Linked DNA regions of Macaca fascicularis. The protein of the gene in region 3 interacts with the protein of the main gene of each other region in a pairwise test. Links are inferred from orthologs where the notes say so. Each region holds a gene or a part of one and is shown on either strand. Other genes may lie near its edges. The genes, in order: TGOLN2, FXR2, AP2M1 and DVL2.

The links.
Region 1: the proteins of AP2M1 (region 3) and TGOLN2 interact in a two-hybrid assay, tested with the Homo sapiens proteins (2 studies listed by BioGRID). The link is inferred for Macaca fascicularis from reciprocal best matches to the Homo sapiens genes AP2M1 and TGOLN2.
Region 2: the proteins of AP2M1 (region 3) and FXR2 interact in binary tests that used the Homo sapiens proteins (3 or more experiments, as listed by UniProt). The link is inferred for Macaca fascicularis from reciprocal best matches to the Homo sapiens genes AP2M1 and FXR2.
Region 4: the proteins of AP2M1 (region 3) and DVL2 interact in a two-hybrid assay, tested with the Homo sapiens proteins (2 studies listed by BioGRID and IntAct). The two-hybrid records come from large-scale screens. The link is inferred for Macaca fascicularis from reciprocal best matches to the Homo sapiens genes AP2M1 and DVL2.

The regions. Positions count from the first base shown.
Region 1 is NC_088387.1:36,262,271-36,269,629, reverse strand, and holds the start of TGOLN2 (trans-Golgi network integral membrane protein 2), read right to left. Parts: upstream 4,241-7,359; 5' UTR 4,214-4,240; coding exon 4,168-4,213; intron 3,937-4,167; coding exon 2,819-3,936; intron 1,009-2,818; coding exon 925-1,008; coding exon of another isoform or gene 889-924; exon of another isoform or gene 786-888; intron 1-785. UniProt on the Homo sapiens protein: May be involved in regulating membrane traffic to and from trans-Golgi network.
Region 2 is NC_088390.1:7,663,250-7,670,806, forward strand, and holds the start of FXR2 (RNA-binding protein FXR2), read right to left. Parts: upstream 3,965-7,557; 5' UTR 3,600-3,964; coding exon 3,519-3,599; intron 360-3,518; exon of another isoform or gene 266-359; intron 1-265. UniProt on the Homo sapiens protein: mRNA-binding protein that acts as a regulator of mRNAs translation and/or stability, and which is required for adult hippocampal neurogenesis. Specifically binds to AU-rich elements (AREs) in the 3'-UTR of target mRNAs.
Region 3 is NC_088376.1:96,095,156-96,101,953, reverse strand, and holds part of AP2M1 (AP-2 complex subunit mu), read right to left. Parts: intron 5,748-6,798; 5' UTR 5,705-5,747; coding exon 5,631-5,704; intron 3,823-5,630; coding exon 3,557-3,822; intron 2,496-3,556; coding exon 2,413-2,495; exon of another isoform or gene 2,053-2,412; coding exon of another isoform or gene 2,014-2,052; intron 1,816-2,013; coding exon 1,680-1,815; intron 1,580-1,679; coding exon 1,438-1,579; intron 965-1,437; coding exon 845-964; intron 749-844; coding exon 613-748; intron 510-612; coding exon 412-509; intron 1-411.
Region 4 is NC_088390.1:7,279,763-7,287,223, forward strand, and holds the start of DVL2 (segment polarity protein dishevelled homolog DVL-2), read right to left. Parts: upstream 4,120-7,461; 5' UTR 3,865-4,119; coding exon 3,671-3,864; intron 352-3,670; coding exon 282-351; intron 1-281. Other genes in the region: PHF23 (PHD finger protein 23), read right to left, coding at 5,230-5,444, 5,536-6,373, 6,989-7,081, 7,234-7,265.

The DNA.
Region 1 (7,359 bases), on a different chromosome or scaffold from region 3:
TGGCTGTACTCAGGAACTCCAGCCCACAGTGCTTAAGCCAGGCTGATGTAGGGAGTTAGAGGCCTATGTGCTTCTGGGCTTCTGTTTTCAGGGAGCGTAGTCTAGTGCTTTACCACATAAAGTGTGGATCCAGTGGCATTTGGTTTCACCTGAGAACTTCCACCATGCCTAGGCTGGGCATGGTGGTTCATGCCTGTAATCCCAGCACTTTGGGAGGTTGAGGCAGGTGGATCACCTGAGGTTGGGAGTTCAAGACCAGCCTGACCAACATGGAGAAACCCCATCTCTACCAAAAATACAAAATTAGCTGGGCATGGTGGTGGCACTTGTAATCCTAGCTACTTGGGAGGCTGAAGCAGGAGAATAGCTTGAACCCAGGAAGCAGAGGTTGCAGTGAGCCGAGATTGCACCACTGTACTCCAGCCTGGGCAACAAGAGCGAAACTCTGCCTCCAAAAAAAAAAAAGAATGTAGAAATATAGGCTCCACCCCACATCAAATGAATCAGACAATGCTTTTTATCAAAATTCCCCAAGGTGATTCAAATGCCTATTAAAGTTTATGGAGTGCTGGTAGAATGCAGAAAGCTCAAGACTGGGAGACCAGGGAGTTGCTATCAGGTCCTGATTTTGCCACTAACTTGCAGTAGAAACTTAGCGGAAAAAAAAAATGAATGTTTCTGTGCGGGCCTATTTCCTCATCTGTCAAGGGAGGGAGCTGCTGTAGAGTATTCGAAGGTCTCTTCTAGCTCTAACGTCAGAGATATGTGTATCTAGATGTTTCTAGTTTGTTGTCTAAAAAGGGCGAATGCAACAGCAACAGCACCCCCAGAATCGGCCACTGCTGCCATGGCAAACGCAAGCCCACTACTGGGTCCATCTAACGTTAACTATCCCTCCCGTGGACCTGGCTCCTCCTTCCTTACCTTCTGGTCCAAACGTTGGTAGTCACTGGCCTTTGGCCGCCGGGTGACTTTAGATCTTTTTCCTTCCAGGACAAAAGCAATGATCTGAGGAAAAGAAAAAGAAAATGATTAACAAGTAATGACATAGTTCAGTCTCTGAAATCAGAGGCAGTCACCTGGTAGCATATTTGTTAATGACCCTGACTGTAGAAAGAGCAGTACACTCACAGAGGTCTATTTAAACTTTAACCAGTTTAAGAAAGACAGAGCCTAATTACATCAGAATCTTTTGTATCGCTTAATAGGAAATAACAAATAGAAGGCTGTCTGAGTTCTAGCGTGTGGGAGGAAGTCTGTATGATTCATTCAAAGGTACACAAGTCAAAGATCTATCAACTCCTTCCTAGAGATATCTACAATAGGACATTCCTTTAAAAATAATCATAATCAGAATTTCCTATCTGCAAATGTACTCTTTCATCCCACGTTGCTACATCAACTATACTCTCTGTCACTCTCATTTCATGACCAAGGTTACCCTGCATAATGGACACCTGGACATAGAATAAGAAATGCACTTTTTTGGCTGGGTGTGGTGGCTCAAGCCTGTAATCCCAGCACTTTGGGAGGCCGAGACGGGCGGATCACAAGGTCAGGAGATGGAGACCATCCTGGCTGATAAGGTGAAACCCCGTCTCTACTAAAAAATACAAAAAAAACTAGCCAGGCATGGTGGCGGGCGCCTGTAGTCCCAGCTACTCGGGAGGCTGAGGCAGGAGAATGGCGTAAACCCGGGAGGCGGAGCTTGCAGTGAGCTGAGATCCGGCCACTGCACTCCAGCCTGGGTGACAGAGTGAGACTCCGTCTCAAAAAAAAAAAAAAAAGAAATGCACTTTTTTTTCTTTGAGGACAGGTCTCACTCTGTCACCCAGGCTGGAGTGCAGTGGCGTGACCATGGCTCACTGAAGCCTCGACCTCCCACAGTCAAGCCATCCTCCCACTTCAGCCTCCAGACTAGCTGGGCCCACACACGTCCACCACATCTGGCTAATTTTTTTTTTATTGTATGTAGAGACGAGGTCTCGCTTTGTTGGCCAGGCTGGTCTCGAACTCCTGGGCTCAAGCGATCCTCCCGCCTCAGCCTCCCAAAGTGCTGGGATTACAGGCATGAGCCACTGCACCCAGCCAGGAATGCACATTTTTACTAAAGGTCTTCCCCTCTATTCTTTCTAGCCACAGGCCTCATGGCCAGAAATGGACTCTCCAATTTTAAGCAGGTTACAGAAACTAGCTTCTAAATTTTGGGGGCTCAATATGAAATGCAATCATTTTGTCATTAGAGTGGTTGCTAATAAACAGACCAAACCCTGCTGAAAAAGTCACAGGTGTACATGTCTGTGCAATTTCTGGGCTTTCTTCTAATTATTATTAATTGCAGAAGTCCCTGGGCTCCTTGTTGCTGGTATTGAAGATGCAGTAATTGAAACTATTCTTTGTGCCACTGATGGAAGAGAGAATGTTGGGAAAGGAAACTAGAAATGATATGTCGTCTCAAGAATGGAAATAGTATGGAAGGTACGTGCTTTAACTGTCAAGTACTCAGGTCCTCTGAGGCTGTGAAGGGCCCAAGTGCAAAGTTATGGGAGGAGATTCCACCTCAGGTCAGATCCTAATAATGGCCTAACTTGGCTCCTAATGCAGTAGCAGAGGACACTCAAAGTAAATAGATGACAGGATGAAAACACGATTCACAAAACAAGAGTAAAAAGGCCTAATGGGGCCCGAGGAAAAAAACTGAAGTTTGTTTTAAAGTCCCCAGTGCTCACGGGCATCCAGTGATAGGATACCCACCCAAACCCAAGCTTCCAGGGTGCTGGAAACCCCACTCCCCTCCCGAAGGCCGCTCTAGACCTACCTTCCGCTTGTTGTGATGAGCGATATAGAGGACTGCCACAAGAATGGCTGCAGTCACCAGATATGCAAAGAAGTGGCTGCTCTCCGCGCTGGCATTTCCAGAACTCTCCCTATAATGGTCATCCTTCTCGCTACCCCTGGAATCCAAAAGTGTCCCTTCACGGTTTTCATTGGAGGCAGAACCGGACATCTTTTCTTTCTCTTCTTTGGGCGGTGAGCCCTCCTCGGGTCCTGTATCATCATCTTCAGCCTCTTTGGGCTCCACATCCTCAGTAGGCTCTGAAGACTTACCTTCCTCCTGCGGGGAAGAAATGAGGTCAGTGTCCTCCCCAGATTCGGTTTTGAAAGCATGAGGAGAAAGCTTCCCTTTGTCAGCTAACTGGTTTGTGTCAGCCTTGGGGAGCTCCTTGTTATCAGAAGGGTTGGAGACGGGCTTGGAATGGTCTTTCCTGGAAGGCTGCTCTGGAACCACCTTGCCAGGGCCGTCTTTTGGGGTCTGCTCCTCCGCATCTGACTTGCTAGACCCGTCTATTGGGCCCTGCTCCTCTGCACCGGACTTGTTAGCGGCGTCTTTGGGAGTCTGCTTCTCCGCACCTGACTTGTTAGGGACGTCTTTTGGGATCTGATCCTCCGCACCCGACTTGCTAGAGCCGTCGGCACCCGACTTATTAGGGACGTCTTTTGTGGTCGGCGCCTCCGCACCCGATTTGCTAGTGCTGTCTTTCGTGGTCTGCGCCTCCGAACCCGACTTGCTAGGGCTGTCTTTTTGGGTCTTTGCCTCCGCACCCGACTTGCTGGAGCTGTCTTTTGTGATCTGAGCCTCCGAACCTGACTTGCTAGAGCTGTCTTTTTGGGTCTTTGCCTCCGCACCCGACTTGTTGGGGTTGTCTTCTGGGGTCTGCGCCTCCGCACCCGACTTGCGAGGGCTGTCTTTTGAAGTCTGCGGCTCTGGATCCGAACTGCTAGGGCTGTCTACTGAAGTGTGCGGCTCCGGATCCGACTTGGTAGAGCCTCCAGGCCGTTGGCTCAAGGTGGGGTAAGTAGAGACGTTTTCTGTAGAAGGCCGAACTCCAGCTTCTTCTTTCTTGACACTTGCGGTGTCCGAGAGCGGCGCGGCTCCTAAAATAGAAAAACGACTTAGCACCAGAGAAGGGCAGGCCGGAAGAAGGAACTCCTCAGAGCTGGAAGATATTGGGAGCAGCGGGGAAACAGGGATTGGGGGGTGGGGCGGGAGATGATGGCGAGCGGAGAGGTGGGTCGGGCAGGGAAGAAGCGAGCCTAGAAGTTACCTGCCCAGGTGAGAATGGGGGATCTGGGGGCAAGAGTGGGATGCTGGATAGAGGGTCTTACCAGCCGCTGCGACGCTCAGGAGGACTAACGCAACCACGAACCTCATCCTGCTCGAATAGCGCTTCCGCCCTCTAACGCTCTCGCGAGATCCGCGCGCGGGGCCCCTCTCCAGTCCCGCCCCTGCTGCGCGCGTCTTTCCGTCTCCGGCTTCCGCCAAGACAAAGGGCGAGATTTGCGGGGGCCGCTGCTGCTGATGTCTACGCTCGCCTTCCGCTGCGGTGGTTACGGTCGCTGAGTGGAAGGTGAGCCTCTTCTTCCTGGTTTCTCGTCTCTACCACAGCCGCAACAGACTGGCCCTCCGTTTTTCGTCCTCTCCGCTGCGTACTTCCGAGACCTTACAGGCAGAGCTGGAGCTCCCTGGCCTCTCGCACTGGCCGCGGAAGTGAGGCCGCTAGGGGCAGGAGCCTCTTGGCCACCACCATCCTGTGCTTGCGTTTCTATGCTCTGCTTTTTTCGTGTTTCCCTCTTGGTAGTATACAAACATGCGGTGCTCTGGTCTCTCCCATGTGGGAACAAATCCATCCGATCACCTACAAAGCGTTGCCTTCGCATCCCGGCCCTCCTCCTTCCCGCCTCCACAGAGACGGTGTTCTCCGAGGTCGCCAAACATGTTTTCCAAAAAGTGCAGCCTTTTTCTGGTCGTAAAAGTACAGAAGCAGAAAACAAAACCTGACTGCCACCCTTCCGGGATAATCACTATTAATGTTTTAGTGTATTGTCTGCCCTCTAAACATTTAATGTTTTTTGAATAGATAATACGGTATAATGTTTCAGAAATGATAACCAGATTTTAAAGTAAATAGACCTTTCTTAGAAGAGTCTTCCTACTCCTCCACAGGTTACCGCTTACATTAGTTTATTATGTTTCCATTTAGTTTTGTAAAAAAAAAAAAAAAGGACACTTTCCCTTCTTAATTAGTGTATTTCTCTTTTCTTCTATGCAGATTTATTTTCTCCGCATATTGGGATAATCAGGTAAATGGTTTTGTATCCCACCGTTTACAGTTACTGTTATGTTTATACATTAAATGTTTGAAATCACTTTATGAACGATTGCCAGGCTTGGTGCTTAGGAGACAGTCATTTAAGAAATGATAGGTCTTAAATGAGATTACATCAAGTTAAAAAGCTTCTGCACAGCAAAGGAAACAGTGAAGAAACAACCTACATAATGGGAGAACTATTCGCAAGCTATCCATCCGACAAGGGATTAATAACTAGAATATATAAGAAACTCAAGGAAAAAAATGTAATTAAAAAATGGGCACCAGCCAGGGCAACATGATGAAACCCTGTGTCTACCAAAAATACAAAAAATTAGCTGGGCATGGTGGCCTGTGCATGTAATCCCAGCTACTCAGAAGGCTGAGGATGGGAGGATTATTTGAGCCTGGGAGGCGGAGATTGCAGTGAGTGAGCCAAAATCTTATCACTGCATTCCAGCCTAGGCAACCATCTCAAAAAAAGAAAAAAAAAAATGGGCAAAAGACCTGCTGAATAGACGTATCTCAAAAGATGACATACAAATGGCCAACATAGAAATGGTATGTGAAAAGATGCTCACTATCACTAATCATCAGGGAAATCCAAATCCAGACCACAATGAGAGATCATCTTAGCCCAGTTAGAATGGCTGTTATCAAAAGAAAAAAAAATACATAATGTTGACAAGGATGAGAAGAAAAGGGAATGCTCATATCCTGTTGGTGGGAATGTAGATTAGTACAGCCATTATGGAAAATAGTATTGGCAGGGCATGCAGGCTCACACCTGTAGTCCCAGCACCTTGGGAGGCTGAGGCAGGCAGATGACTTGAGCCCAGGAGTTCGAAATCAGCCTGGGCAATGTAGCAAGACTCTATCTCTATAAAAAAATGAAAACAGCACAGAGTTTCTCAGAAACTAAAAATAGAACTGCCATATGATCCAGTATTCCCACTGCTGGGTATGTATCCAAAAGAAAGGAAATAAGTATGTCAAAGAGATAGATACTCTTGTAATCCCAGCACTTTGGGAGGCTGAGGCGGGAGGATCGTGTGAGCCCAGAAGTTCCAGACCAGACTGGGCAACATGGCAAGACCCCATCTCTTTTTTTTTTTTTTTTTTTGAGACAGTCTTACTGTGTCACCCAGGCTTGAGTGCAGTGGCACGACTTCAGCTCACTGCAATCTCCATCTCCTGGGCTCTAGTGATCCCCCACCTCAGCCTTCCAAGTAGCTGAGACTAGTGGATCTCATGAAAGTAGAGGTGGCTACCAGAGGCTGGGAGGGGATGAGGAGAGGGAAGATGAAGAGAAGTTGGTTAATGGGTACAAAAATACAGATACATAAAAAGAGTAAGTGTTCTGTAGTCAATACAGTAGGAAAATTATGGTTAACAATAACATCGTATATTTCAAAAGAGAAGAATTGTAATGTTCCCGATACAAAGAATAGATAAATATTTGAGGTGATAGATATCCCAGTTACTCTGATTTGGTCATTAAATATTGTATACCTGTATAAAAATACCACATGTACCCCATAAATATGTACAACTATATAAAAAAAATTTTTTTTGAGACAGAGTTTTGCTCTTGTTGCCCAGGCTGGAGTGCAATGGCGCGTTCTTGGCTCAGCACAACCTCTGCCTCCCAGGTTCAAGTGATTCTCCTGCCTCAGCCTCCCGAGTAACTGGGACTACAGGCATGCACCAGCACACCCAGCTAATTTTGTATTTTTAGTAGAGACAGGATTTCTCCACGTTGGTCAGGCTGGTCTTGAACTCCTGACCTCAGGTGATCCACCCTCTTCAGCCTCCCAAAACGCTGGGATTACAGGCGTGAGCCACTGCGCCCAGCCCTATATCAAGTTTTTAAGGTAGGTATTAACTTCATGGAGCATGCAATCTTTTGGGGTACATAAATATTAAATATCTGTGCGTGCATGCACATTCCAAGAACTGCCAGAAAGAAAAGTACAGAAACTATGAGATCATTTGAGGAAGGGACCCTTAAGCTGAGGACTGAAGGTTATAGCTGTGTCCCAGGTGAAGAGGAAAGGAAGAGGAGGATGAGCTTTCCTGGCTGAGTGTACAGCATGTATTAGGTTGGTGCAAAATCAATTGCGTTCTGGCCGTTTGACAAAAACAGCAATTACTTTTGCACCAACCTAATACAATGGTCTGCAGACAGGTGGGAACCTGGTATTTTGTG
Region 2 (7,557 bases), on a different chromosome or scaffold from region 3:
TTGGTTTCCTCAAATTAGAAGATATAAAATGGGTCCCCACTTTGACTGTTGTCTAGTTCTAGACTCCCAAAGCAAAGGAGGGGGTTCTAGGAGAAGAGCAGGAACAGTCTGAGTAAAAACCAAGTACTGAAGCTGAGGATGCCACGTTGATTAAGAAAGGAATGGGGATTAGGATATCCAGGTGAGGTTCGGAGTAGGATGATTGCACCCTGGAAGGTGAATACTTCATTTGGGAGAGTACAACTTAAAGAATAAAATACATTAGATCATTGAGTACGTCTTAAGCATGATGACTGAGGTTTCAAGCTCACGTGTGATGTGGGCCTCCCTCAAACCTTGTTACAGATGCCAGTCTAACATGAAAAAAAAAAAAACAGAAAAAAAGAGTAAGTTCTGACAAACTTAATGTTGGGATAGCTACAAAATAACTTAGATCCCAGATCTAACATTTTATCCTTTAAGAAAACTAACTGATGGGAGGGCATGGTGGTTCACACCTGTAATCCCAGCACTTGGGAGGCCAAGGCGGGCTAATCACTTGAGGTCAGGAGTCAGAAATCAGCCTGACCAACATGGCAAAACCCCGTCTCTACTGAAAATACAAAAATTAGCCAGGCATGGTGTTGCACACCTGTAATCCCAGCTACTCTGGAGGCTGAGGCAGGAGAATCGCTTGAACCCGGGAGGCGGAGGCTGCAGTGAGATGACATCATGCCACTGTACTCCAGCCTGGATGACAAAAGGAGACCCTGTCTCAAATTTAAAAAAAAAAAAAAGAAGAGAAAGAAAAGAAAACTGACAACAGGGCCCAATTCTGAGAGAGGAGAAAGGGACCTTCCCAATGTACATTTCCAGAAGCAGTGTAAATACTCCCTGACCCATCCCAAGTTTGCTGAGTCATGAATATTAAATCAGCAGCAAGGTCAAAACGGATAAGTATCTATAGGGTACTGAGAGTGGAAGATTAGCCTGAATTTAGGGATTTGTGGTTTTTAACTCAGGAACGGGGCAGAAAATGCTAACCTGCCCAGATCCACATTACCACATTACCTGGCTTTCAGCTCAACCCCAGACTCTACTCTCTGAATCAGAGTATCCTGGTCCCCATGTACTCAAGTCTATCATTGCCCACAGCGCACAGGAGAAAGGGAAAAGATTCAGAGAGACTTTCTGCTGGACACTTATATGTAGAACAGAAAACGTGTCCCTTCCCAGCCATCTCATACAGTTCATTTGAACTGGATACCAATCTTTCCCAGCTGTGCAGGGCTCCTGTGCTTCCTAGAACAAAGCAAACATCATATCTTGATCTTGGACTCAACTTAAGAATGACTTTTCTTGGAACTCAGAATTTTGGGGTGGTAAGGACCCAGATGAAGGAAAAGATACCGAGGGAAACAGGGAGGGCCACTTTAGGAGGCGTATTTCAACAAAGGTAGTGCAAGTTTGGGGAAAAGGATATGAGAGATAAATGTGCTCTATCAAAAGCAGAAAGGAATTAGAGACTTTTGCCAAAAAAAACAGAAATGCTATGGAGGCAGGCTAGAAGAAAAAGTCCCAAGAGTTAGGCAAGTATGCAGAAAATGACAAAAGAGATCAGCAGGGAGCTTCCTTCAGCTAGACAGGGAATTAGGTGATCCCTGGGGATTACACAGGAATACAGAAGTATTAGGAGAAAAAGCCAAAAACTTGAATTGAGACAGTAAGTTAGACATGGGTACCCAAAGTCACCGCACAGAAAGAAATCTGATGAGGGAAGTAAGGCAAAAATGGGTAAGTATGAAGAGTAAGTAAAAAATGACTACAATGGCGCGGTGGCTCACGCCTGTAATCCCAGCACTTTGGGAGGCTGAGGCGGGCGGATCACAAGGTCAGGAGATCAAGACCATCCTGGCTAACACGGTGAAACCTCGTCTCTACTAAAAATACAAAAAACTAGCCGGGCGTGGTGGTGTGTGCCTGTAGTCACAGCTACTCAGGAGGCTGAGACAGGACAATGGCGTAAACCTGGGAGGCGGAGCTTGCAGTGAGCCCAGATCGTGCCACTGCACTCCAGCCTGGGTGACAGAGCCAGACTCCGTCTCAAAAAAAAAAAAAAAGACTACAATGAACTTAGCAACTGAAGTAGAGGCAGAAACCACCCAAGGGAAATTACAAGACCCTCTACAGTTACAGAAAATATGACTTAGGGAAGGAGTCAAAGAAAGACACTTCCAAGGGCATGAGAAACTAGAGAGGGCTACTGTGGGGGGGAAAGGCCTGAGGGGAACAGAAGGAAAGGGGGAAGGGGGATCTACTCTTAACAAGTAATGCCATGGGAAGGTATCTCTTCTACAGCTCCCCAAGGTGAAATCAAAGAATGAGACAGAAATCAGGAGAGTCTCTGGGACAATTCCAGGCATCAAATCCAAAAGAGGTTCAGAATAGCAACAGTCGAAGAAAAACTCTTGGGAGGCAAGAAAGGGTTCTCTCTGGCTTAATCCAAATGGGAAAAAAATGTCCTAGAAAATGGATTCAGAGCAGATAAGGAAGGTGGTATTATAAGGAGTTCTAAGGAACCAAATCCTGGGCAAAGGGGGAGGTCAAATAAGGAAAGGTCTTTGAAAGATGATCCCTTCTTCCAAAAAAGGTTGTCAGATTCCCGAACTGGGATAGTTGGCCAAGAGTCTTCAAGAAGTGGAAATCTTAAGAAAAACAGAAGGGAACCCCATGAGCTTCCTTTTAGAGATCCTTTTAGAGATCATGACTATGAAGCTCACATGCCTCAAGACGAAGAAACTCTAAGAATGACCTGAAGGTATCTGAGGTCTAAGTGAGACCTCAAATCCATTCTGAGTAGAATGGTAGACCAGTGGGCCTTGAGATCAAGGTGTGGTGGGGTGAAAGACTTGCGAAAGATGCCACCTTATGGCTGGCTGAGAAGCAACTTGACTGATCCAACCCAGGGTTCCTGAGGTCAAAGATGCCAAACGTCGTAAATGGATCTGACCATTTCTCCTTGGCTTGGGAACCGGAATATAAGCTGAAAGTGGGGTGAGTGTTCCAGAGTCAGTAGGCAGAGGCCTCTCTGAGGAAGATGAAAGGATCCGATATGGGACAGAGGGGGCCTTCCCAAGGGGACCGTGCAGAAGAAAGACAATTCTCCATGTGCCTGGACCGTGGGGAAGATGTGATTAAGGTCTAAGGTATGTCTTCCATCAGACAACGGAAACAGTCAATTAGAAGCTGGGTAAAGGGGTCTCTCCTGGGGAGCGGGGAGCGCCAAGCCAGGGACAATAATGGCCTGAAGTTCATTCTCCCTGAGATGGGGGTAGAAGCAGGTGCATTAAAGGGCTCAAAAATAAAAGGAACAGGTTCACTCCAAGAGGTCTCTCAGGGAAGGCTGCGGGTGGGAGCAAGGGTCTAAGATTCTAAGGGCCAGGACTCAGCTCCAGAAGCTCGATCCCGCCCCACGCGTTCCTGCTCCGGCCGGGGGAGGGGGCTAAGGACCGGCGTCCCCAGTCGGCGCGCCGTCTCACCTTGTAGAAGGCCCCGTTGGAGCCGCGCACCTCGACGGGCAGTCCCGGCTCCACATCCCCCCCAGAGGCCAGGCCGCCCATGGCGCCGCCACCGCCTCCGACTCCCCCGGCGGCGGCTGCAGCAGCAGTCTGAGTGCGGGCCGGGCCAGGCCCCCGGCGTCTCCCCGGAGGAGGAGCCGGAGGGGGAGCCGCGGGGGGCGGGAGCCGGGCCGGCCCCACGGCGGCCCTGCCACAGCCAACGAGCAGGGGGCCGGGGCCGGGCCGCTCCCCGTCCGCCGCCGCCGCCTTGGTCTCCGCCACCGTGAGGGAAACGGCCGCCGCCGCCGCTGCCTTCGTCACCTCAGCTTCCGCCTGCCGCCGCCCCCGCTGCTGCCTCAGTCCCGGGACCCGCTGCTGCCGCTGCCGCTCCACAGCCTCCACCTCCCCCTGCCACCGCCTCCTACTGCGCAGGCGCACCGGGCACCCGCCCGCTGCGCGCGGGGCCCCGAGGGCCACGGCGCAGGCGTCAAGGTTAGAGCCCCAGCTAGCGCTAGCCAGCGCATCGGGGCTTCCACATTCCCTTTCACTCTCTCACGCCCCCTCCTGGTCGCTTGCTCGCGCTTGCGCAGAACAAAATTAGCCTTCTTTCTCCACCGCCCCACCGCCCAGCAGCCCCGTCTCTTCCTTTCCGCGCCCCACAACCCTGAGAACCAACCAATCAGAGGGAGGGAGGGGCCGGGCTCGCTCAGTCCGATTGGGCGGCGGCCGCACAGTCACACAGCGCTCAGGCCACACCCACGCCGCCGCCGCTGGCCCCACCGGGCTCGGACAAGTTAGGGATGGGCATGCGCCTGAACGACTGCTTGGTCACTTTCCCCACCTTTGTCTTTCTTGGTGCGCACGCTCCAAAAAAAAAAAGAAGAGAAGTCGCCGCAAGGAAAAAGGTGCTCGGTGCGCACGCGCTGAGCTTTACTGTCTGCGCGCATGCATCGCCTATCTTTTAAGAATCTGTAACTGTGCTGTAGTAGATTTAAGTCATAGCTCTTGCCTTGAAGAGATTGTGATACAATGAAAGTTTTGGCCAGGCGCGGTGGCTCACGCCTGTAATGCCAGCACTCTGGGAGGCCAAGGCGGGTGGATCACCTGAGGTCCTCGGATCACCTGAGGTCAGGAGTTCGAGACCAGCGTGGCCAATATGGTGAACCACCCCACCCCCGCATCTAATAAAACATAAAAATTAGTCGGGCGTGGTAGCACGCGCCTGTAATCCCAGATACTCGGGAGGCTGAGGCAGGAGAATCACTTGAACCTGGGAGGTAGAAGTTACAGAGAGCCGAGATCGCGCCATTGCACTCCAGCCTGGGCGACAGAGCAAGCCTCCGTCTCAAAAAAAAAAAGAAAGAAACGAAAGAAAGTTTTAAGAATAGTAGAATAGTTTCGGCCGGGGGCGCTGTGGCTCACTCCTGTAATCCCAGCACTTTAGGAGGCCCAGGCGTGTGGATCACTTGAGCCCCCAAGTTCGAGACCAGCCTCAACAGGGCGAAACCCCGTTTCTATTAAAACTACAAAAATTAGGCCGGGCGCGGTGGCTCACGCCTGTAATCCCAGCGCTTTGGGAGGCCGAGATCACTGGCGGGCGGATCACGAGGTCAGGAGATGGAGACCATTCTGGTCAACATGGTGAAACCCCGTCTCTACTAAAATACAAAAAATCAGCTGTGGTAGTTCCAGCTACTCGGGAGGAGTCCCAGCTACTCGGGAGGATGCGGCAGGAGAATCACTTGAACCTAGGAAGGTGGAGGTTGCAGTGAGCGGGTATCACGCCACTGCACTCCAGCCTGGGCAATGAGTGAAACTTAAAAAATAATAATAATGGCAGTGTGCGATGGCTCACGCCTGTAATCCCAGCACTTTGGGAGGCCGACGCGGGCGGATCACGAGGTCAGGAGATCGAGACCATCCTGGCTAACACGGTGAAACTCCATCTCAACTAAAAATACAAAAAAAAAAAAAAAGCCAGGCGTGGTGGCGAGCGCCTGTAGTCCCAGCTACTCTGGAGGCTGAGGCAGGAGAATGGCGTGAACCCAGGAGGCGGAGGTTGCGTGAGTGGAGATCGCGCCACTGCACTCCAGCCTGGGCGACAGAGCGAGACTCCATCTCAACAACAACAACGACAAATAGTAATAATAATAATAATAATAATAGTGCCCGGGTGCAGTGGCTCACACCTGTAATCCCACCACTTTGGGAGGCAGAGGCGGGTAGATCACCTAAGATTGGGAGTTTGAGACCAGCCTGACCAACATGGAGAAACCCCGTCTCTACTAAAAATACAAAAATTAGCTGGGCATGATGGCCCATGCCTGTAAACCCAGCTACTCGGAGGCTGAGGCAGGAGAATTGCTTGAACCCGGGAGGCAGAGGTTGCAGTGAGCCGAGATTGTGCCATTGCACTCCAGTCTGGGCAACAAGAGTGACATTCTGTCTCAAAAAAAAATAATAATAATAATAAATAATAAACAATTCCGGGGAAATTCAAAATAGGAAAAATTATAATGAAATAATGGTAGTAGCAGGAAAAATTCACATTCTGGGAGTTGTCCTATGTTCCATTCACTTCTTGGATTAGAGTAAATGGTAATGCCAATCATGGAGGACATAACATAGGAGATAAAGGTTTAGAAAATAAGGTGATGGATTATACTAAGTTTTTTTTTTTTTTTTTTTTTTTGCCCTTTGAACTTAGCCACCACATCTGGCTAATTTTTAAATTTTTGTATTTAATGGTGGGGACAAACAGACCTGGAAATCTCTTACTTCTTTTTTTTTTTTTTTTTTTTTTTTGAGGCGGAGTCTTCACTTTGTCGCCCAGGCTGGAGTGCAGTGGCGCCATCTCTGCTCACTGCAAGCTCCGCCTCCCGGATTCGCGCCATTCTCCTGCCTCAGCCTCCCGAGTAGCTGGGACTACAGGCGCCCGCCACCGCGCCCGGCTAATTTTTTGTATTTTAGTAGAGACGGGGTTTCAACGTGTTAGCCAGGATGGTCTCGATCTCCTGACCTCGTGATCCGCCCGCCTCAGCCTCCCAAAGTGCAGGGATTACAGGCGTGAGCCACCGCGCCCGGCCGGAAATCTCTTACTTCATAGTGTGATGGCAGAAGAAAGACACTGGAAAAATTATTAATATTTATAATAATTATTAATATTGCAACCATGGCCAGGCACCGGGCTCATACCTGTAATCCCAGCAGTTTGGGAGGCTGAGGCTGGTGGATCACCTGAGGTCACCTGAGGTCAGGAGTTCAAGACCAGTCTGTTGAAATTCCATCTCTACTAAAAATACAAAAATTAGCCTGGAATGGTGGCATGCGCTTGTAGTCCCAGCTACTCAGGAGACTGAGGCAGGAGAATCACTTGAACTCAGGAGGCAGAGGTTGCAGTGAGCCAAGATTGTGCCACTGCACTCCAGTTTGGGTGACAGAGCAAGACTCTATCTGAAAAAATAAAAATTAAAAATAAAAATAGGCCGGGCGTGGTGGCTCACGCCTGTAATCCCAGCACTTTGGGAGGCCGAGGTGGGCGGATCACAAGGTCAGGAGATGGAGACCATGGTGAAACCCCGTCTCTACTAAAAATAGAAAAAACTAGCCGGACGCAGGGGCGGGCGCCTGTAGTCCCAGCTACTCGGGAGGCTGAGGCAGGAGAATGGCGTGAACCCGGGAGGCGGAGCTTGCAGTGAGCCGAGATTGCGCCACTGCACTCCAGCCTGGGCGACAGAGCGAGACTCCGTCTCAAAAAAAAAAAATAAATAAAAAATAAAATAAAAATAAAAATAAAGGCGATAGAAGAAAGGAAAATAAAATATAAGAAAATTAAAGGATTAGTCCATGGGATACAACATCTGAATAACCAGAATTCCAGAAAATGATAACAGATATAATTATCTGGGAAGATGAAATCATCTCAAATCAATAGTAATAATTATGCAAGAAAATTTCCCAAGGCCAGGTGCAGTGGCTCACGCCTGTAATCCTGGCACTTTGGGAGGCTGAAGCAGGCAGA
Region 3 (6,798 bases):
CCCATTTTAAGGAGCACGCCCAGGAGCTTGCAGGAGGTGCCACAACAAGAAGTGGTCAGGACCCTGCTAACTACTTGCTATGGAAGCTTGGGTCTACTTCTTTAGGACAACAGGATGCAGTTTCTGCCTAGACACTTGGGCATGCTATCTTTGCTTTGTCAGCTTCACAGATACATTACAAAGGCAAGCAGGGAAATGCCAAAGCATCTTAAAAAATAAGCACGTGCATGAACCCAAATGCAGGCGTGTACATACTCACATGGAGGCATAAAGGCTGACAGTACAAGCAGAGGCTCCTAGAAAAGCAAAGAGGCACACTCCCCCACCCCTCATTCAGAAGGATCAAAGGTGAAAACAAGAGGGTACACTGGGATCTTGAACCTGCTGTGGCCTAATGAAGGAAAGACTCACTTCCACACGATGGCATTCTCGCTGGCCTTGTACTTGGCCTTCCCCTTCATGCAGATCACCTGCACCCCACTTGTGTTCAGTGGGGTTGGGATCCTCACCTAGAAGTGACACACCTGTCAGGGAGCTCTGTCAAGCTGTGACATCAGCTGCCTTTATTCCTAGGGACAAGTTCTTCCTCCTCCCCAAGCCCCCTGTCCTCACCTCAATCTTCTGAGCCAGGAGTGAGGGTTTAAAGTTGGACTTGATGACCACCTTGACCTCCAGTTTGGTGCGTCCCACTTCTCGCACTAGCGGGATCACCCGGAAGGGAAGGATGATGTCCTTGGTTGTGCGATACCTTAAGGGATGGGAAGCAAGGTTACCAAAGAGCTGACCCACTTCCTCTCCCCAATCTGCCAGCAGCACTGGCTGCCTCTTCACACCCCAATGGCACCTCATAAGCTCAAACTCTCCATCTGGTGGGATAAAGCTGATGCTGCGTTCAGAGTCAAACTTGCTGAGTCGTACACACTGGTGGAAGGTGCAGTCATCAATGGCAATTGATTGCTTCCCACTGCAAGCAGGGGCAGAAGAGGAGGTCTCATTGGTACAGGAGAATGACAGGTGTCACGCTGGGAGACCACTCCACCCCAGGCTGGCACCAGAGACTATGAAAAGCTGCTAGAATGCAGCTTTCTGACTCAGAGGTCTGCCCCAGAGCTTGGGATGAGAGGGAAACCTTGTAAACTCATCTCTTGGGGGCCCTGCTGCTTGGGACCTGGGTGTTTCAGGCACACTGGGCAGAGGAGGCTATCAGTATGTACAGAAGAGGCCTTGGTCCTAGGGACCAAAAAAAGGGGCTTGCTCTGAGGACAGTCCCCTCATCTCTCTTAGCACCAATGTCAAGAGCGAACAGCCAGGCTTACCGTCAGGAACAGAGTTTGCAATTACAGTGGGAATGAAATCCAGAAGAAACTTGTGGTTCACTAGACCCCACCGAGCCCTCCAAGGGACACCCTTTCCCACCAGCTCTCCTGCCTCAGGCACCTCTTGCTTGTTTCATCAGCTGTGCCTTTGCCCTGCTTTTCAATAACAATCTTGTCATTCATCCCAAACTTGCATTCAGGCATGCCACTCAGGTAGCTCTTCATCACCACCCGGCCCGACACATGGGCACTCAGCACCTGCCCTGATGATGGAACAGATAAATGGGGAGCAGCAGAGTCAGGCAGGCAGACCCAGGATCCTGCCCTGGTCCCCCTCCAGCTTTGTTGTGAGAGGGACCTCACCTTGTGGGGACATGAGCAGGTTCACACTCTCCAGCACATCCAGGAAGAGCTCATTCCGGCGATACTTGATACCCTCTCGCCGCCAGCCAATCTGCCCAGTCACCTGGCTGGTGATCTGTGACTGCTCTTCTTTTGTCTACATGGGAGCAGAAACAAACAGCAAGAGCCTCACTCCCCTCTCCCTTTAATCATCCTGTCTCTATCCCCACTCCACCCTCATTCCCCATCCCTTCTAGTCCCCACCTGTAATCCATTTTCCCCTATAAGCCCCAAAGGGCAGGGCCTGGAGAAACAAAGCAAAGCTGCAAGGGCGGAAGCTAAGGGAAGGGCTTACCTGATGCTGGAGGCCGCAGGGCCAACGAGGTGCCCACATGAAGTAGCAAGGGAGGCAGAAAAGGAGGAGAAAGCTATGAGGCTTGGATCCTATAGGAGAGGGCCCAAGCTCTCTCCTCCTGAGGAACACCAGGCCTCAAGACCAGGCCTCCTCCCCCAACCCTCAGTGCAAAAGGAAACTGCTTGAGCTGTATTCCTGGTAACAGAGATGCTGAATTGGCTGCTCCTGCAGTGGGAGGACCACATAGAGCAAAATAGGCCTGCAATCATGGCAGGAGGCTCAGGCCAGCACTTCCTGTTATGGGAGGGCTTATGAGTCAGCTCAGACAAGGCTCAGGGGCCAGCTGAGATGAAGGGAGATTGGCCTGCACCCTGACTATAGTCTGCACAATTCAAGTACCTGACTCTTGATGCCCTGCTGCGTGATGAAGGTTTTCAGCGCGCCTGTCTCGGAATTCTGTGGATAGCCAAAGTCTAGAATCTCTGAAAAAGAAGGGAACCATCAGCCCCTGAACAAACCTTCTCATTCCAGTCCCTACTTGGGCCTACACATGTCTGACTGGCACAGCTCCCAAAGACCATGTGGGATCATCTGCAACAAAGTCTTCTAGCTTTGTAGCATTTATTCTGTGATTTGTGCTTTACAGGAAAACAATTCAAATGTTTGATTTTTTCAAATAGAGAAATCAAGGCCAGGCGCAGTGGCTTATGCCTATAATCCCAACACTTTGGGAGGCCAAGGTGGGAGAATCACTTCAGCCCAGGAGTTCAAGACCAGCCTGGGCAACATAGCGAGACCCAGCTCTACAAAAAATAGTAAAAATGAGCCAAGCATGGTGGCATGTGCCTGTGGTCCCAGCTACTCAGGAGGCTAAGGCTGGAGGATTGCTTGAGCCTGGGAGGTCAAGGCTTCAGTGAGCTGCGATTACACCACTGCACTCAGCATAGGCGACAACAGTAAGACCCTGTCTCAAAAAAAAAAAAAAAAAAAAAAGAAATCAATAGAAGAGTCACATGGCCAGTGGGTGGCAAATCAAGAAGCTTTGAGCTGTTTTCTCCAGAAAATAGACAATGGGAAGGTGGAAGGATTCACCTTCCCTTAGATCACACTCTACAGAGAAACAGAGGTAACAGTGCACCCCCAGAGGCTTGTAGTATCTCAGTCTCCCCCAGGCTCTGAAGCAGCTGCTGAGATGGAAAACTGGGTGGACAGTCAGTGAAGTAAGGTCCAAGCCACAAAGGAAAGAGGATGAATACAGGAGGCTCACCACCAAACCTGAGTCAGGTTCCTAGCCCCGTGGAAGACCAAAACTTCCCCTCCACACCTGCTGGCCTATTTCTGTGTTCTACTTCAGACCAGCCTTTAGGTTTGGATGTGAACTGGCCTTCTGAGGGGCATAGAGATCCTAGTCCAAGAGCCCAGATACTCAGGAAAGAAAGTTCAGAGTGTACCAGAGCCTCGGACCTACACCCACTTTCAGGCCAGGCCCAGCCTGGTTCTTTCCCACCCTAGGCCCCCTGCCCTGCCAGCCCACCAGCCTCACCATCCAGCAGCTCATATATGAGTACAAAATTGTTCTTGATGTTTTCCTCGCTGATCTTGCCAAAGTAGGCAGCCATCACGTCACACATCTTATAGAGGAATTCGAAGACCATGGCAGCGTTGACATTCTGCTTGGTGACTGCTGCCAGCCAAATGTTGGACCGCTTAACGTGGAAGAAGCTGGTGCGAGCAATGTTGGTGACGGGGCTGCGCACCTGCTGCCGGGCATGGATAACATTGACCCGAAAGGCATCCACTGCGTTCCTCCTGAGGGGAAAGGGTGCACAGGGCCTGCTCAGCACCCAGGCGAACCTTACCCCACAAGGATCAACCACAGCTGTTAACAGCTCCACCCACCTTTCTGCAGAAGTCTGACACACACAATCTAAAGAAAGCCAATGCCTAAACCACTGGGGTGGTTCCCTTCTTATGACTCCCTGTGGAGGCATGGGAAGAGTGCCTGAGCTGGGCTAGTGTCTAAAGGCCACAAGAAATAGGGAAGTCAACTATTAAGGCCGATGTAACCTTAATAAAGTGAGGTTCATCAGGTTTAGAGACAGATATTCTTGACTCCCAGGGCTGGCCCTAATTTCCCAGCTTTATCTAGCTTCCCTGTAAGCTCCCAGGTCCAGGACAGAAAGAGACACTGCTTCTCCAGTCCTCCCACTAGTGATCCCACCAGTGGGGAGGGCCGACTCCTCCAGATGTTATACAAAGCCAGCATGGCTTCAGAAGTCACAAAGGAGGAAGTACCAAGGGGCCATGGAACTGTGCTACCCATTCTTGCCCAGGATCCAACTCCAGAGCAAGTTCAGGGAATGAAAAAGGATGCAGGAAAACAATGATGGGGGCAGGGCCCCCACCCACCTGTACCTGGGCAGCAGCTTGAGAGGCCGCTTACCTATTGCTACGGCAGTCAATGAGATGGGATGAGAGAAATGACGCCAGCAAGAAGAGGAGAGTGACAGCAACGAGAGAGAGGGTTAGACACACAACACACCGGGAGGGCAGCACACACCGTGAGGTGGAAGCAGACAAGACAGGCAAGGTGGCGTGTGACCCAGCCTTGGCTTGCCTAGTCCATCCAACGCAGGAGGGGGGCCGGGGGTGGGGGTGGGGGGTGTAGCCAGCCAGATTCAGGCAGGCCAGACCTTGCCACAGCTGCAGCTCTAACTCATGCCACACCACCAGCCAATGGACAAACACCCGCAAGGGCCAGGCCAGCCCATCAGCCAGGGAGCCAAATGAGGAGCACTGCCACAGGCCCATTCTGTGACTTTATCTCAAGCTCTCTGAGGAAGAAAAACAGGCAGCAGGAACCAGAGGAGCCTAATCTCATTAGCGCCTCGGAGGCTAGGATAGGTCCAGCGTGTGCAAGGGGGTGCAGAATGAGAAGGCAGGCTGTGGCTCTGTGTGAAGGCCCAGGATATGGAGCCGCTCTGGGTCTACTCTGATAAACCAGAGAGGGTAGCATGGCCTCCCTGCCCTTTCTTAGTGACCCAGAGAGTGCCTCACGCTCCCTCCCAGCCTCTCCCCCAGGAATGGCCCAGAGGAACTGAAGACAGCTGAGTCAGCAGCCTGACTCCTGAGAAAGGGAGCAGGAGAGGATTGGGTAGCCTGGAGAGGCTTTCAATAGAATCCAGTGAAGGCGCTTGATATGAGAAGGGCTTCTCAGAGCAAGGCTTAGATGGATTAGTGTCTCCAGCCTGGCCACTAACCCCACCCACTAGAGATATTTCTCCTTCTCCTCAAAGAAGAAATTCACCAGCCTGGGCAAAGGCACTCATCTCCAGCAACCAGGCCTGTATAGAGAAACAGGATGCAGGAAGGGCAGGCGTTCCTAAAGCTGTGGGACCATGCCATTCCACGGGTCCCACCTAGGGGCCAGCAGGCTGGCTGCCGGGTGAATACCACCAGACCTAATGGGAGCCAGGCTACACTAGCTGAGCTTCCAGGGTGCAGCCAGGGGTCAGGGTGGTCCAAGTCAAGCCTCTGGTGAGAAGAGACCTAATCCTGCATGCTGGGGCTCGGGGGCTGGAGTGGTGGGGCACAGCTGGCTCTGCCAGAGGACTCACCCGATGTCATCTCGGTAGACTCGAGAGATGAGCACCTCCCCCTTGTGATTATAGATGAATAAGCCTCCAATCATGGCGGCAGATCAGTCTCCGCGGCCCATTGCTCTGAGAACAGACCTAGGACAGGCGGGGGCGGGGTAAAAGAAGACCTCAGAATCCCTGCCAACATCCCCTGTGGAGCTGTGCAGATCACTGGAGCTTTTTTCCTGACTCAACCCTTTAGCAAGTGACCCTGCAGCCCTCCCAGACATGCCCCTCCCCTCAGCTAGGCTCCAGTTCCTGTTTATTCCACACTGGATGGGAGAAAGAAACTGAGAGAGATTAGGCTCAGGACTCTAAGGCCATTTTGACCCTCCGTTTCCTGGGGCTGAGCATCAGCAACCCCGCCCCCTCTCTCCAGCACTGAGCTCAGGAATGATCCTTTTCGGCCTCCTCCTGTGCAGACTCTCAGGCTCCGGCCAGTGAGTCACTAAGGCCTGCCTGCCTGCGGCTGCAGGAATGGCGGTAGGAATTACTCCAGTTGGTTCAGGCCTGGGGCCCCCAGGCATAACCTTTAGAGCATCCAGTCTCTCGGGCTCCACTACCCTTCAGAGAAGGTCGCAGGGCCTGAACTTCCGGCACTCTAATTCACAGAATTCAAACATTCCAAGAAAGGGTGTGAGGAGAAGAGAAGGGAGCCCTTAGGCCCTAATGTGGACCCGGGAGTGTGGCTTAACCTCTTCCAGGCAGTGGAATAAGCAGGCAAAGGGCAAAGGAGGAAGGTCCTAGTGCTGGCAGACTACACCTCCATCACCTAAGCTGCTTATTACAGTTATTTCTGACTACCACCCCCCTTTCAAAAAGCTCTGGAATGCAATAAAAGTAAGGACTGGGGGGGTGGGGGTAGTGCAGGCACATAAAATTAAGAAATCCTTCCATCTGAAATCGTGATTCCAGGCCCATCAAGTAACTCATTTCTGGCCTGGGTGCCTATAAACAAGAAGCAGGGATTTCAGGATGCCTGAATTATCCAAATTATTTGGGTCAAATTAATTTAGACTGCTTGAGAAAAGGCATTAATTTGCTTTTAGATTTCCTGGATTAGCTCTGGTATTAATTTCACAGGGAGTACTTTAGAAGACTTTTCTAAACTGGAAAACAAAGCCTTTTCCTGTGGCTGTCAAGGTCT
Region 4 (7,461 bases), on a different chromosome or scaffold from region 3:
AACAGTGGCGCTCAGCTGGGAGTCGGGGTGTGACAGGTTGCAGTAAGTGAAAGAACGAAAAAGGGTCTCAGAGAGCTGGAGAAGAGCAAAATAACCTAGCAAGTATTAGAGACTCCAGAAGGAGAAGGCTGAGGGCCTCTCACTGGCTCTCCAAACAGATAAGAGGTAAAGAGCCAGGGCTGCTAATACCTGGCCTGGGAGAGGGCTACAGAAACGGACTGAGGCCTGGGGAAGCTTGGAAATGCAGAGGGGACCCAGCCCTCGGCGTCTGCACCTCTTACCCAGGATACCACCCTTCCGTTGAAGCAGGGGAGGCGGGCGTTGTCATCTGAAATTTCTTCCTTCACCACTCTGCCAAGAGACAAGGTGGAGGTCAGTGAGCTGGACCAACCACCCCCACCCCCACCCCCATCAAAGTTCCTCCCAATCTTCACCGGGCTCCAGGATGCTGACTTTCTCCCGCCCTGTTCAGGTCTTCTCTTACATTGAAAAAACTCACTCTGACACCTAAGAAATCTCCAAACTCAATCCCCTTTCCTTATTTCTCCTCTCCCTAACGCACCCTCAGGGGCGTAGTGCTGCTCCAAAGACTTGACTGAGTCTGATTCAAACCTCTCAGTACAATTTCAAAGGCAATCCCCTATGCTGATGCAGCTGCCTAAGATACCTATCTAATGAGACTGGCTGGTAGCCTCCTCTCAAGCCCATCCCTGTTCCTTACAAACCTTCCAAAAAGGCCGGGCACGGTGGCTCATGCCTGTAATGCTAAAACTTTGGGAGGCTGAGGTGGGCGGATCACCTGAGGTCAGGAGTTCAAGACCAGCCTGGCCAACATGGTGAAACCTCGTCTCTACTAAAATATAAAAATTAGCCAGGCATGATGGTGGGTGCCTATAATCCCAGCTACTCAGGAGACTGAGACGGGAGAGTTGCTTGAACCCAGGAGACAGTGGTTGCAGTGAGCCAAGACTGTGCCACTGCACTCCAGCCTGGGCGGCTGAGCAAGAATCTGTCTCAAAAAAAAAAAAAAAAAAAAAAAAAACCTTCCAAAAAAAGGCTTCGGTCCTCAACCAAGTCTCTACTTTTATACTTGCCTTTAGTTTTCACTAATTCATTTCCAGAAGACTGTCCTTTCTTGAGTAAAAACACCCATTAGAGGCCAGGCATAGTGGCTCACACCTGTAATCCCAGCACTTTGAGAGGCCAAAGTGGGTGGATTACCTGAGGCCAGGAGCTGGCCAACATGATGAAACCCTGTCTCTCCTAAAAATACAAAAATGAGCCGGGCACGGTGGTGCACACTATAATCCCAACTACTCCGGAAGCCGAAGTAGGAGAATCGCTTGAACTCAGGAGGCGGAGGTTGCAGTGAGCCGAGATTGCGCCACTGCACTCCAGCCTGGGCGACAGAGTGAGATTCCACCTCAAACAAACAAAAAACAACAAAAAACAAAACCACCCACCATTAGATCAAACAAACAATGGAAGCTCCTCATTAGACTGAAAGCTCCCAAGGAGAGAGCAAGCTGGCGCTCCCATTCCCCTGTGCCTCATCTGGCACAAAATTCGGCACGAAGCAATCTGCTCAGCCTGACAGATCCCAAAGCCCAGCCTTGGGGTCATCTCTCCAATGGGTTCCCTGTGGTGGACTGGACTTGCCCCTTCTTCTTGACCACGACATCAAACCATGAACACTTACTCTGATCAACACCATGTCCTGGCCACACACCACACACTGACACTTAGGCATTAACAAATACTGTCAACTAAATGAATAAACATATAAAGCATCAGACTCTCTGCCCTGGTTGTTTCTCTCTCTCTTTCCACACACACCCTTGCCGCCAAATTAGGACACCTTGTCTAATTAACCCATTAGCCTAATATGGTCATAAGAGCCAGGATATATATCAACTTAATCCATTTGCTGTCAATGTGACAACACAGCCCAGTCACTACCAATCTGTCTCAGCATCATGTAGGATTCTTCCCAACATAACACAATCTCAGCATAGCTCAGTCCACTCTTAAGACAAATTACTGTGTATCACCATAACCTTTATAGAGTAGTCAGCCTCAATACTAATGACAATTACCATTCACCAAGAATTCACCATGTACCACACACCTGAACTAACCATTTCATTCTGTGATTTTCTCCATGTCACAGACGAGATCAAGACACAAAATTTAAATTAATTGTCCAAGATTGCACTGCTGACAACTAGAAGAACCTTGACTTAAAGCCAAGATAACTCCCAAGATAGTATCACCCTTCCCATGTCAAACAATCTTTCTAGCTAGAGTCCAGTTTGTTCAGTTCTTCTAAAACCCATGCTATCTCAACTTAATCCAGCCTGCCTTCAAAAAAGCAGAGGTTGGGCTGGGCGCAGTGGCTCACGCCTGTAATCCCATCACTTTGGGAGGCCGAGGCGGTCCGATCATGAGGTCAGTAGATCGAGACCATCCTGGCTAACACGGTGAAACTCCGTCTCTACTAAAAAATACAAAAAATTAGCCAGGTGTGGTGGTGGGTGCCTGTAGTCCCAGCTAGTGGGGAGGCTGAGGCAGGAGAATGGCGTGAACCCGGGAGGCGGAGCTTGCAGTGAACCGAGAATCAGCCACTGCACTCCAGCCTGGGCGACAGAGCGAGACTCTTGTCTTTAAAAAAAAAAAAAAAAAAAAAAAGCAGAGGTTGAGGACCCAGAGAGGGCTCAGCCCCAAAGACCATAAACACAAAAGGGCTTTCTCTGCATTATTTACATGCCAATCTAGTCCAAGATAGCCCTGAATGTCCAAATTACCCTAGGATAGCCCAATCTATTCTAGCACAGCCTACAATGTCCCCACACGCAGCTGTCTGCACCAATATAGACTAGAATACCCCAATACAGCTACCTGTACTAGCATGGGCACCAACAGCCTTGTCTGCCCCCATACTGAGTGCTCCAATAAAACCATGTCTTGCCCCAAGATAAACCAGGATTAACCAATACAGCCCAGTAGAGTCCATAATGGCCCAAGTTTGTTTTGTTTTGTTTTTTGGTGTTTTTTTTTTTTTGGAGATGGAGTCTTGCACTGTCGTCCAGGCTGGAGTGCAGTGGCGCGATCTCGGCTCACTGCAACCTCCGCCTCCCAGGTTCAAGCGATTCTCCCTGCTTCAGCCTCCCAAGTAGCTGGGACTACAGGCGCCCGCCACCACGCCCGGCTAATTTTTTTGTATTTTTAGTTAGTACAGATGGGGCTTCACCGTGTTAGCCAGGATAGTCTCGATCTCCTGACTTCGTGATCCGCCCGCCTCGGCCTCCCAAAGTGCTGAGATTACAGGCGTTACAGGACTCCTGAGAACGTACTAAACGACCAGACGATAGATGAATTTACTCAGTACAGTCTAAAACACTCCAAAATAAACCAGTATGCCTCCACCTATTCCAGTAGAGCCTAATCGTCTCTAATCTGGTTTAGGATATCCTAGTCTGCCCGTGTGCCTCAATCTATCCAAGCATAACCTTGTCCATCCTGGGAGAGTCAACCTACCTCAGCATGGTACAATCTGCTCCACCACAGGCCAGAAAATCCTAGTGTGGCCCGAAGTAGATGTGTGCCCCTCCACGTCGCCCAATCCACTCTAGCAAAGCCCCCGTCGGTCCTATCTAGGCCTTGCGCTCACCCGAAATCCTGATCCATAGACTTGAAAAAGTACTTGGCGCCCGCGGGCCGCTGCAGGACGCTCTTGAAATCGCCGAGGGTGATGCGCTCGGCGGGGACAGGGATCTTCACCAGGTATGGAGTCTCTTCCTCATCCAGGTGGTAAATCACCTTCGTCTCCCCAACCCCACCGCCCCCAGCGCTGCTGCCCGCCATGGTCTCGCCCGCGCGCTCCCGGGCTCCACCGCCCACCCAAGGGGCTAATGGCCCCTGCCGCGCCTGCGCACACCCGCAAACCGACGAGCGAGCGCGGACAGGACGGACCCAGTACTGGAGAGAAGCAAAGGGAAAAAAGCAGGGGTCGGCAAGGGTGGCGGCGGGGGGCGGGCCGCGAGGTGCGACTCAAAGCCGCGGTCTCAGCGGCCGCCGCGCGCCACCGCCACCGACAACGCGAGCGTCCTCCAGGTCCCCGCCCACCTCTCCTCATGTCACGTGACCTAAGCCCGCCCACCCCGCGCTCTTCAGCCGCCCCCGTCACGTGACCCCTCCCAGTCACGTGACCGCGTGACTCCTCCTAGTGCCCCCGCCACGTGATCGCTGCCTTCGGCAACGGTCTCCCAGCCCCCAAAGGTGTACCCCAGCCGAGGTCCTCGGAGCACCCAGGATAAGCTGGCCTGTGCCCTCAGGAAGCGGACAGTCGGCTCCCACCCGGCTTTACCCCACACCGGCGGGAGCGCGAAGCAACTCTGACCCTCAGGAGTGTGCGTGCAGGGAGTGAAGGTGGGGATTGTGGGGGTTCCTAGACTCGAGTGGGGAGGGCCAAATACAATGAAAGCTCTGAGGTGGCTTACTCAAGTATCTTGGGGTGGGAGAGGCCCAGTGCTGTGCCATCTTCAGACTGGACTGTGAGAGGTGGCTTTCAGCACCACGTCCAGCTAGTCTTCAGCCACCAAAGCCTCCCTCCCAAGCAGGACAGTGAGGGCTATAAACACAAAAGAGCCCACTCTGCTTTATTTACAACACGCAGGCTGTCTGTACAAACAGCGGCCAATATTATTAAAAACAAAAGAGGTGAGTGAGAATCGTCACCTTTCTGCTTTCCTTCCTTGCTTGGCCAGGCTCTAGTACTCCACCTTTGAGCTGCCATGCCCAGTAGGGGAAGTCCAAAATTAAAAATACAACCGGTGTAGAAGAAAATAAATGGGGAGTGAAATAGAAGAAAAGATGAGGGAGGGGAGTGCTAATATTTACACTAGAGTTTTATAGACAACTGTCCCATTCCATCCCAATTCCAATCCTGACCCAGAAAGTGATGGTGGCAGGTCCAAGAGACAGAGATTATGTGTCTAGAGACACAGACAGCCTCCCACCCGCAACCGTAATGGGTTCAATTTCAAGTTCAGAGTGGGGAGGACGGATAGGGTAGGCAAGTGAGACACTCATTTTCAAACAAGTCTCCCTTGGGAATTCCTGCCTTGAAGTGCGGACAGTATCCAAGCTCCAGGGGGTAGGCTGAGGACCCTGAGGCTCAGTTCCCAAATCATGTTATCATTTGGAAGTTCCAGGCTAAAGTTGGTGCCGTCAGGGCTCTCCAGATTTGGGAGGCCCCCCTAACCGCCGGGCCTCTGGCCTCAGTTCCTTGCATTTCTGGCAATAAAAGAAGTCAGGGACGTTGGTCTTCTTAATCTTAGCACAGGAGAGGTGGATCCACGTCCCACACAGGCTGCACTCAATCATGGGCCGCCCTGCAAAGGGCTTTCGACAGTAACACGTGATCAGATCCCATGAGTCATCACCTGGGGAAAAAAGGTTTGTTTGGTATTCTGCCTGAGCAGTTGTTGGATCCACAACACCCTCAAACCCCTCGCCCCAGCCCAAACCTCTCACCTGATTCTACCATGATGTCCTCATCCATGACCCGCATCTCGCCTTCACTGGAGCTGGCATCTCCATCTTGGCTTGTTTCAGTGCTGCCCACCTCCTTGCTTTCACTGTCAGTAGGAGGGACTCCTTCAGGGTGCACTGTGGCAGGGGGCCTAGGAGCCTCGGGGGGTGTTGGGAGCACAGGGGCTGGGGCTTCACCCCCTACCACTGTTGCCATCTCTTCCTCTTCTTCCTCTTCCTCTTCCTCCTCCTCCTCTTCAGAGTCTGTATCACTGGGGGGTGCCTGGGGAGGCCCAGGAGGTGGGAGTCTATCCCCCCGTTCTGCCTTTTTTAACTTCCGCTTCTTGCTCTTCTTGATTCGAGATCTCTTTTCCCCATCCCCAGGAGTTGGCCGAGGCCTCCGAAGCACCCCAAAGCCAGCCCCAGCTCCTGGCCCCAACTTTCGGTTCTTTCGGTCCTTCTTTCGAGGAGGATGGGAGAGGTCCCCCTGGGAAAGGGGCACGGGGGTAAGAGCAGCAGGGGGCCGGGAGGTATGTGTCAGGGATGTGGGGGACAAAGGAGATGCCACCTTGGGCCCATCGAGATCAAAGAGAGAGTCCTTGAGCTTCATCTTCTCAAGCAAGGTAGCACTGTCGGGGGCCTGCAGACGAGAGAAAGTGGACCTTGGGGGTCCTGGCTGGGTGGGACCTGCTTGGGCTGCCCTTCTCTTGGATGACTTTGCTTTCTTAACAAAAGTCTGGATGGTTCGAAGATCTGAGGGGGCCGAGTCCCAGCCATCACTGTCGGCCGCACTCTCTCCTCGCAATGGAGAGCTGGAGCCAGAGGCGGGCCAGTCACTTTCCTTAAAAGGGGAAAGAGACCAGGGTCAGCAGAACCCCAGTGTCATCTCAGCCCCTCCACAAACCCAGCTTGAAAAGGAGTGACTAGATTTACCCCAAAATGTCCTCTACCTCAACCACTAAATCCCACTGTACTCCCAAAACTTCTCCCCACCCCAATTCCCATCAGCATGTCCTCGTGACCACTCCGTGTTACCTCCACCTTCGAGTCTTGATACCTCACCGCTGCCCCGCCCAGGGCCTGTGGAACACGGTGTCCCCCAGACCAGAGCCTTATGTCCTTAGCTCTTTTTCTGTGTAGCCTAATTTGTTACCATTTTCATCTCCCTAAAATTTATCCATAAACACCTTCTATTCACAGCACCTCAAGACTGCCAAAATCTCGACCAGCAACTCCAGAACCCCCTTGCTTTTCACTGCTGTTCAAGCTAGCTAGCCCTGCCATCCACTCCCTGCATACCAGCTTTCCTACCACAGTCCTAAGAATCTCCAACTTCCCTCTAGTCTTACATATTTCTAGGGGCTTCCTCCTATAAAGCAGTACAGTTCTATGTGAACAACAGCCACTCTCTAGTCCCACGACACGAGCCTCAAGTCAGTAATTCTCTTGCCCCTACCTCTTTGCTAGGAGGGATGTAACCAGCATATGCCAAAACAAAACTGCAGAATTTGTTGAAATCCTCAATTGTTCTCCGCCGTTTCTCTGGTGGCTGAAAGGAAGGAGACATGGATCACATGGAAAGCCACACAGTTTAAGAAGGGCATTCTCAGAGACACAGTCCCTAAGTGAGGCGTCTAGAAAAGGGGGGCGGGGGCGTTGTCAGGCAGGGCTACTAGGCTGCAAAGATCAAGGAAATCTCACCTGAGTCTCTGGCTTCAGGGTCGGAGGTGGATCTGGAAAAGCAATAAAAGCTGAGTCAAGACACTACGAAACAGTCTGTGTAAAATTCCTCCTCTAAACCCTGTTGTTCCTAAGTGAACCCCCGGCTCTCCCAGGTCCCTCTGCCAGGCCAGCAGGCCCCCAGCTGTGTTGGATCCGCCCCTGCTCCCCCTTCCGCCCCGCGAGGGGCGGAGCCTGGGCGCGGCGCCC